Callithrix jacchus: one gene and its partner. The protein of the gene in region 1 purifies or fractionates together with the protein of each later gene. This does not show direct contact. Links are inferred from orthologs where the notes say so. Each region holds a gene or a part of one and is shown in the gene's direction. Other genes may lie near its edges.

What was found.
Region 2: the proteins of NEDD4L (region 1) and LITAF purify together in Homo sapiens (affinity purification with western blotting; 3 studies listed by BioGRID and IntAct, counting the BioPlex papers as one, with this or other methods). This does not show direct contact. The link is inferred for Callithrix jacchus from reciprocal best matches to the Homo sapiens genes NEDD4L and LITAF.

What each region holds. Positions count from the first base shown.
Region 1 is NC_133514.1:101,373,328-101,377,143, forward strand, and holds part of NEDD4L (E3 ubiquitin-protein ligase NEDD4-like), read left to right. Parts: intron 1-1,529; coding exon 1,530-1,662; intron 1,663-3,026; coding exon 3,027-3,203; intron 3,204-3,816. UniProt on the Homo sapiens protein: E3 ubiquitin-protein ligase that mediates the polyubiquitination of lysine and cysteine residues on target proteins and is thereby implicated in the regulation of various signaling pathways including autophagy, innate immunity or DNA repair.
Region 2 is NC_133513.1:17,571,055-17,574,870, forward strand, and holds part of LITAF (lipopolysaccharide-induced tumor necrosis factor-alpha factor), read left to right. Parts: intron 1-1,882; coding exon 1,883-2,039; intron 2,040-3,816.

The sequences.
Region 1 (3,816 bases):
AGGCAGCAATGCCAAAGGGAGGGGCTGAGCCAGGAAGGACACAGCAGAACTTGGTGGAACCTGAGGAGTGCCTCCTTCCAATGGGCATGACTTCCAGAAGGCAAGAAGAAAGTTAGTTAAGGAAAGTTTCCACCACAGCCTCTGCTAGCAGGCTCTTTATTGGGATATGGCATAAGTTCATTTCAGAATGTGTAAGAAAATTTTAAAATTTGTGTTTTAGACGGAGTCTATAATGAGTGTTCTTGATAAGTACTATATTTCAGTTAATGTGAAATAAAGATTTCAACTTTTGAGATATTAACTTGTGCAGTAATTTTCATTAACATGATATGCTGTCTTATTGAAAGTATCTGTGAGAGTTTTCCCTGAAAACCTTTTTGGCATTTAAACTTGTACAGTAAAAGCCTCTGACTAGTATTTCCCCCCAAAGAATGATTGCCTTTAATTTACTGCAAAAAAATAGTTGGTTTGTTTTTGTATTTGTTTTGAGATGGAGTCTCACTCTTCTGTCCTGGATGGAGTGCAGTGGTGCAATTTCATCTCACTGCAACCTCTGCCTCCTGGGTTCAGTGATTCTCCTGCCTCAGCCTCCTGAGTAGCTGGGACTACAGACACATGCCACCACACCTGGCTAATTTTCATATTTTTAGTAGAGACGGGGTTTCGCCATGTTGGCCAGGCACGTCTTGAACTCCTGACCTCAAGTGATTCACCCACCCTTGCCTCCCAAAGTGTTGGGATTATAGGCATGAGTCAGCATGCCCAGCCCAAAAAAGTTTTCAAAATTGAATCAAAACTTTTAGATCCTGAATCGAGAGCATCACATGACAAAAAATACGGTGTGATGTGGTGGTGGTCTTCAGACCCCAGCTGACTTGAGAGTTACTAGGATTTTTAAAGTAGGGTAAAGAGGAGAAATGCAGTGTCACAATTTTGCGATTCTGTCAAAATGAGCTAGAAAGCAGCTGAAAAGAATTCACGTTGGATCAGATGTACTTTCATCTCGATGGCAGCTTTGAATTTGTACCTTTTGTAGTCTTTGGTCAAATTGCTGGTGACCAAAAGTAGCTGCCTTGTCGTTGCTGGACTTCTAGAAGGATTGGGACTGCCCAGCTGCTGTGTGAACTCGCCTGTCACCTCTCCTTCCAGAGGCCTGACTTGTCACTGTGACAGATGGGTAGAGGACTTTGATTTCTGTTTTTTATTTAACACTAAGGTATACTTTAGTACCTTATATATGCCTGAAAGATACTCAAATATGCCTGAAAGATACTCAAATAAATGCCTGAAAGATACTCAAAATGGTGTAATGCATTTTAAAACTGCACTTATTTGATTGCAGTGAACCTTAACGTATACTTCAGCTGTGATATGGTGGGAGAATTCTCACATTGGATGACCAGCTAGTCAGTGTTTTATGCTGACGCTTGAGTGGGCATCTGGCCCTCTGTGGGCACTGGACTGTCATGAAAGGCTCCATCTCAACCACTTCTCCTCTTTTTCTCCTTCCCCCTTTCCTGCGTGCTCAGGGACGTGTCCTCTGAGTCGGACAATAACATCAGACAGATCAACCAGGAGGCAGCGCACCGGCGCTTCCGGTCCCGCAGGCACATCAGCGAGGACTTGGAGCCGGAGCCCTCGGAGGGCGGGGATGTCCCAGAGGTACGATGTCCCCAGAATGCTGCAGAGCCCTGCAGCTCCTTCTTTCCATGTTCTCCAGACTGATTTTATATCATCAATTCTTCTCTCAGTAAATGTTGTTGAGAATGTAAAGATGATGTTGACACAGTGAATTAATTACCATATGGATATTAATTAATTTGAAAGTGCTATAAAAGCCATATTTGACAAGTACATGTGGCTCTATTATTGATAGAACTGGGAATGACATTATTGTTTTTTTCCCCCAAGATGGAGTCTTGCTATGTCTCCTAGGCTGGTGTGCAGTGGTGTGATCTCGGCTCACTGCAACCTCTGCCTCTCAGATTCAAGCAATTCTCCTGCCTCAGCCTCCCGAGTAGCTGGGATTATAGGCGCCCGCCACCACACCCAGCTGATTTTTTTGTTTGTTTCTTTGTTTGTTTGTATTTTTAGTAGAGACAAGGTTTCACCATATTGGCCAGGCTGGTCTTGAACTCCTGACTTAATGATCCATCTGCCTCAGCCCCCGAAAGCGCTGGGATTACAGGCATGAGCCAATGAGCCCAGCCAACATTATCTTTCAGTATGAAAATCTGAAGATATTTTCACTTTGTAATTTATTTTTCACCAGCGTCTAACCATGTTTCATTAAATGACAACTTAGTTATCATAGTTGAGCTGTTGAATGAGCCCTATAACTTGTTTGGATATCACATGCACGTTTTTACTGAGTCGCTTTGACACCTTGAAAGAAATTTATTACCATGAAAATATAAATTTGGGTGAATAAAAATTTGCAATTTTCCCTTTAAGCTGTTATGATATACTACTTAAAACTTTATGAATTAAACAACAGATGAGCCATAAACTTCCATGATGTCTTATCAGCTCTGTTTACATACTAAAAATCCATTTTAGACGTTGTCTTAGGAAGATCATTCACAATGCGGTGATTAAAAAGGAAGTCCATGTCAAGAGAAAAGTGTGTGTGTGTGTGTGTGTGTGTGTGTGTGTGTGTGTGTGTGTTTTGGCACATGCATAAAGTAACAAGTGCTGGAAATCAGTCACCATTCAGAGAGGTGGTGGTATAAAGTGGTTACGAGCACAGCCTCTGTCTAGAACCAGGCCTCTTTAGTTCACATCATGGCCCTACCACTTGCTAGCTGTTACCTTGGGCAGGTCATTCTCTGTGCCTCAGTTTCCTCATCTGTTAATTGAAGGTTTTAAATATATCTTATCTTCCTCACGATTATTGTGAAGGTTGTGAGAGGCGCTTAGTAGGTATTATAGTTATTACTGTGGCTATCGTTGTTACATGCTTTTGTTGGGGAGCTGGGCAGATCCCCATTTCCTAGCATTTACCCCAGTGTCTCCTTCTCTGAAAGCCTTGGGAGACTATTTCAGAGGAAGTGAATATTGCTGGAGACTCTCTCAGTCTGGCTCTGCCCCCACCACCGGCCTCCCCGGGATCTCGGACCAGCCCTCAGGAGCTGTCAGAGGAACTGAGCAGAAGGCTTCAGATCACTCCAGACTCCAATGGGGAACAGTTCAGCTCTTTGATTGTAAGTATTGTTCTTACAAAAAATAAAGCTAAGCAGTGTTTCGTTGTTTTTTGTTTTTGTTTTTTGTTGCTTCAGGAGAATCTTTTATGTAAATAGTGAGCAGGGGTCTTCCAGTTCCCAGTTAACTCACATTTTCCAAAGTTCCTCCTTCCCTAGGAGAAGCAGGAGCATACTAAAATTAGCCTAAGCGGGTGAGAATCTTTCTTGATTTGGAAGGCAGCTTTGCTCACCCCATACCACTAACACTTTCTTGGTTTATAAAGAACTCAAAGAAATAAAACTCCATGATGTCTGTAAATATTAGCTTCAACCTTGTAGAATCCTTTCCCAGCCAAAAGACTCAGGACAGTAGTACCTTACCACAAAGGTAGGATGTCACAGTACCAATTAAAAGCCATCAGACCTAATTAGTTCTCTTAAATCATATTCTGCAGGCTTTATAATTCTCATTTCAGTGATACGGGCATGAGGCTTACGTGGCCCATCCAAAACAAGGTTTGAATGGGAGATAGAAGACATCTCCCAAGTCCAAGAGTATAAACCCTTGAGAAAGGTTGTGAAATTGTGACACTGTCATCAAGGTAGCATTTTAACTTGGGCTCTCAACCATCAG
Region 2 (3,816 bases), on another chromosome or scaffold:
TTGATCTTTAACTCCTAAGCTCAAACGATCTTCCCACCACGCTTGGCCTCCCAAAGTTGATAATCCTATGAATGTGAGCCATGGAGCCTGGCCTGAGTAACTTATTCTTGAACCCCCAAAACACTTAATAAAATGTGTGAACTGGGCGTAGTGGCTTACACCTGTAATCGAAGCTACTGAGGAGGCTGAGGCAGGAGGATCACCTGAGGCCAGGAGTTCGAGACCTGCCTGAGTGACATAGTGAGACTTTGTCTCTATGAAAATAGAAGTAGCTGAGTGTGATAGCTTGCGACTGTAGTCCCAGCTACTTGGGAGGCTGAGGCAGGAGGATCACCTGAGGCCAGGAGTTCGAGACCTGCCTGAGTGACATAGTGAGACTTTGTCTCTATGAAAATAGAAGTAGCTGAGTGTGATAGCTTGCGACTGTAGTCCCAGCTACTTGGGAGGCTGAGGTGGGAGGATTGCTTGAGGCCAGGAGGTTGATGCTGCAGTGAGCTATTACTGTACCCTTGTGCTCCAGCCTGGGAGACAGAACAAGACTCTGCTTCTAAAAATTTTTTTTAAAAAATTAACATAAATGCTAAAGTATGATGCAATACTACTTTTCTGGAAGGAGGGTCTTTCTATGAGTATTTCTAAGTTTAACTCTAGGCAGTCGTTAGTTTCCATTGGTTATATAAATGGCATTCTAACAATGTAAAAAGGAACAGAAGGAAGTAGCTTTGACAAAAATATGAACTTAACAACTGAAGTGCTTAATGATTTTCATCACCCTGGATTCTCTTCCTTTTTTTTTTTTTGAGACAGAGACTCACTCTGTTGCCCAGGCTGGAGTGTGATGGCATGATCTCAGCTCATTGCAACCTCTGCCTCCTGGGTTCACATGATTCTCTAGCCTTAGCCTCCCGAGTAGCTGGGACTACAGGCCTGTGCCACTATGCCCGGCTAATTTTTGTCTTTTTAGTAGAGATGTGGTTTCACCATGTAGGCCAGGCTGGTCTTGAACTCCTGACCTCAGGTTATCCACCCTCTTCAACCTCCCAAAGTGCTGGGATTACAGATGTGAGCCACTGTGCCCGGCCTGGTTTCTCTTCTGATTCTTGTGAATGTCCACAGATGTTTTCACTTAGCTGTGTCTTCCCGGCATTATTTAATATTTCATTTCTTACGTCAACACAGTTCATGAGCTTGTTGTCTCACAGAGTTGGCCTGCATTTCCTGGCATGATAAACTCTCCCTTATCATTGGGAGCCAGAAATTACAAAGGATCTGTGTAAAAAAAGGGGATTGTTTATCAGGAGCTGCTAGACGCAGTGTGAGACGGGTTACAATTATTTATTTATTTGTTTCTGAGACCAAGTCTCGCTCTGTTGCCCAGACTGGAGTGCAGTGGCACTGTCACGACTCACTGCAGCATCAACCTCTCAGACTCAAGTGATCCTCCCACCTCAGCCTCCTGCGTAGCTGGGACTACAGGCATGCACCACTATGCCTGGCTAGTTTTTATAGTTTTTTGTAGAGATGAGGTTTTGTCATGTTGCCCAGGCTGATCTTGAACTCCTGGTCTCAAGTGATCCTCCACCTCGTCATCCCAAAATATTGGGAATATAGGTGTGAACCACTGCCCCCAGCCCTCTTATGAGCCTGAATCATACTCAGTGGATGGATAAACCCTGATGTGTTAATTCATTCGTCCGTCAGTGGACACGTGAGTCCCTTCCCCTTTGGCTCTCCTAGGTAGCCAAACGATGGACACGTGCTGTGAACACGGATATACAGATAGAATATCTACGGCGTCCCTGCGTTCCCCTCTTTGTTCTGTAGCGAATGCTGTGGCCGTGTTTCCTGAGCAGCTTGTGTTTGTCCCTCTCCCTTCCATCAGTTGCCGTGCAGACGGTCTATGTGCAGCAGCCCATCTCCTTTGCCGACCGCCCTGTCCAGATGTGTTGTCCTTCCTGCAACAAGATGATCGTGAGTCAGCTGTCCTATAACGCCGGTGCTCTGACCTGGCTGTCCTGCGGGAGCCTGTGCCTGCTGGGGTGAGTCTGCCTCCTGTGTGGCCCCAAGACCTCCTGCCCTTCTCTCTGGGTGCTGCGGGCGGTGGCGGGGGCCGGGGGGGTGGTTCTCAACTGGACCAGAGTGACATTGTGCCAGACAGTTCGTTCATTCCCTTTCTTTCTCTCTCTCCCCCCTTTTCTTTCTTTTTCTTTCTTCTCTCTTTCTTTCCTTTCCTTGTTTCCTTCTTCTTCTCTCTTTCTCCCTTTCTTCCTTTCTCTCTTTTTCTCTTTCTTTCCTTTCTTCCTTTCCTTCTCTTTCCCTTTCCCTTTCCAACGGAGTCTTGCTCTGTCACCCAGGCTGGAGTGCAGTGGTATGATCTCGGCTCACTGCAAATTCTACCTCCCAGGTTCAAGCGATTGTCCTGTCTCAGCCTCCCAAGTAGCTGGGACTACAGGCGCCATGGTCAGCCAATATTTGTATTTAGTAAAGACAGGGTTTCACCATGTTGGCCAGGCTGGTCTCAAACTCCTGACTTCAAGTGATCTGCCCACCTTGGCCTCCAAAAGTCTTGAGATTAGAGGCGTGAGCCACTGCACCCGGCCTTTTTTTTTGAGATAGAGTCTGGATTTGTTGCTCAGCTAGAGTGGAGTGGCATGATCTCTACTCACTGTAGCTTCCACTGCGCAGGTTCAAACGATTCTCCTGTCTCAGCCTCCTGTGTACCTGGGATTATAGGTGTGCACAACCATGCACCATGCCTATTTTTTGTATTTTTAGTGGATATGGGATTTCACCACACTGGCCAGGCTGGTCTAGAACTCTTGACCTCAGGTAATCTGCCCCCCTTGACCTCCCAAAGTGCTGGGATTGCAGGTGTGAGCCACTGCGCTTGGCCCAAGACATTTTTTTTTTTTGAGACGGAGTCTCGCTTTGTTGCCCAGGCTGGAGTGAGGTGGCACTAGCTAGGCTCACTATAACCTCTGCCTCCCAGGCTCAAGTGATTCTCTTGCCTCAGCCTCCCGAGTAGTTGGGCTTACAGGTATGTACCACCATGCCTGGCTAATTTTTTTGTATTTTTAGATGGGGGTCTCACCATGTTGGCCAGGCTGGTCTCGAACTTCTGACCCTCAGGTGATCCACCCACCTCAGCCTCCCAAAGTGCTGGATTTACAGGTGTGAGCCACTGCGCCTGGACCAAGACATTTCTTTGTTGTAAGGGCCATCCTGTGCATTGTAGGATATTGAACAGCATTCCTGGCCCCCACTTGCCTGACGCCAGAAGCACCTGCTCCCCAGTGTTAAACTGACCAAAAATGCCCCCTGGGAGGCCAAGTCGTCTCCGCTGCTCTTAAGCATATCAGCCCCCAGAAATGGTTCTTCCGTCATTTCTTCTTGCTTACCTGCCGAAACCACTCCCTGCCTGTAGGGATAAGCTTCGCAGCTGCTGGCAGCTGTGTATAGGGCAGTACCCTGAGGGATTCCTTTTTCTTCTAGAATTTCATGACCTAAATAATAATGTTTGCTCGAGCCTGAGAGAAGCTTTAAGCAATCTGTACGTTAAAATTCTTCATAGAAATTACTTCAGAACTTCTTATCCTTTTATGACCCGAAGTATTTTTCCCATTGCCCATGTAGGGGAATTATGTAAATAGTTAGGTTGGCACCAAGGGTATTATGTTTAAAGAGATAATAGTTTCTGTTCTGGGAGAAAAATCTGAGAAAAACAATTAATTTTTTGTTTCCCACAAAGCAGGTACAAGTAACTTCCTTATTCCTGGCCACGTGAGCCACTCAGAAAACCCCAACGGGCTCTGTTCT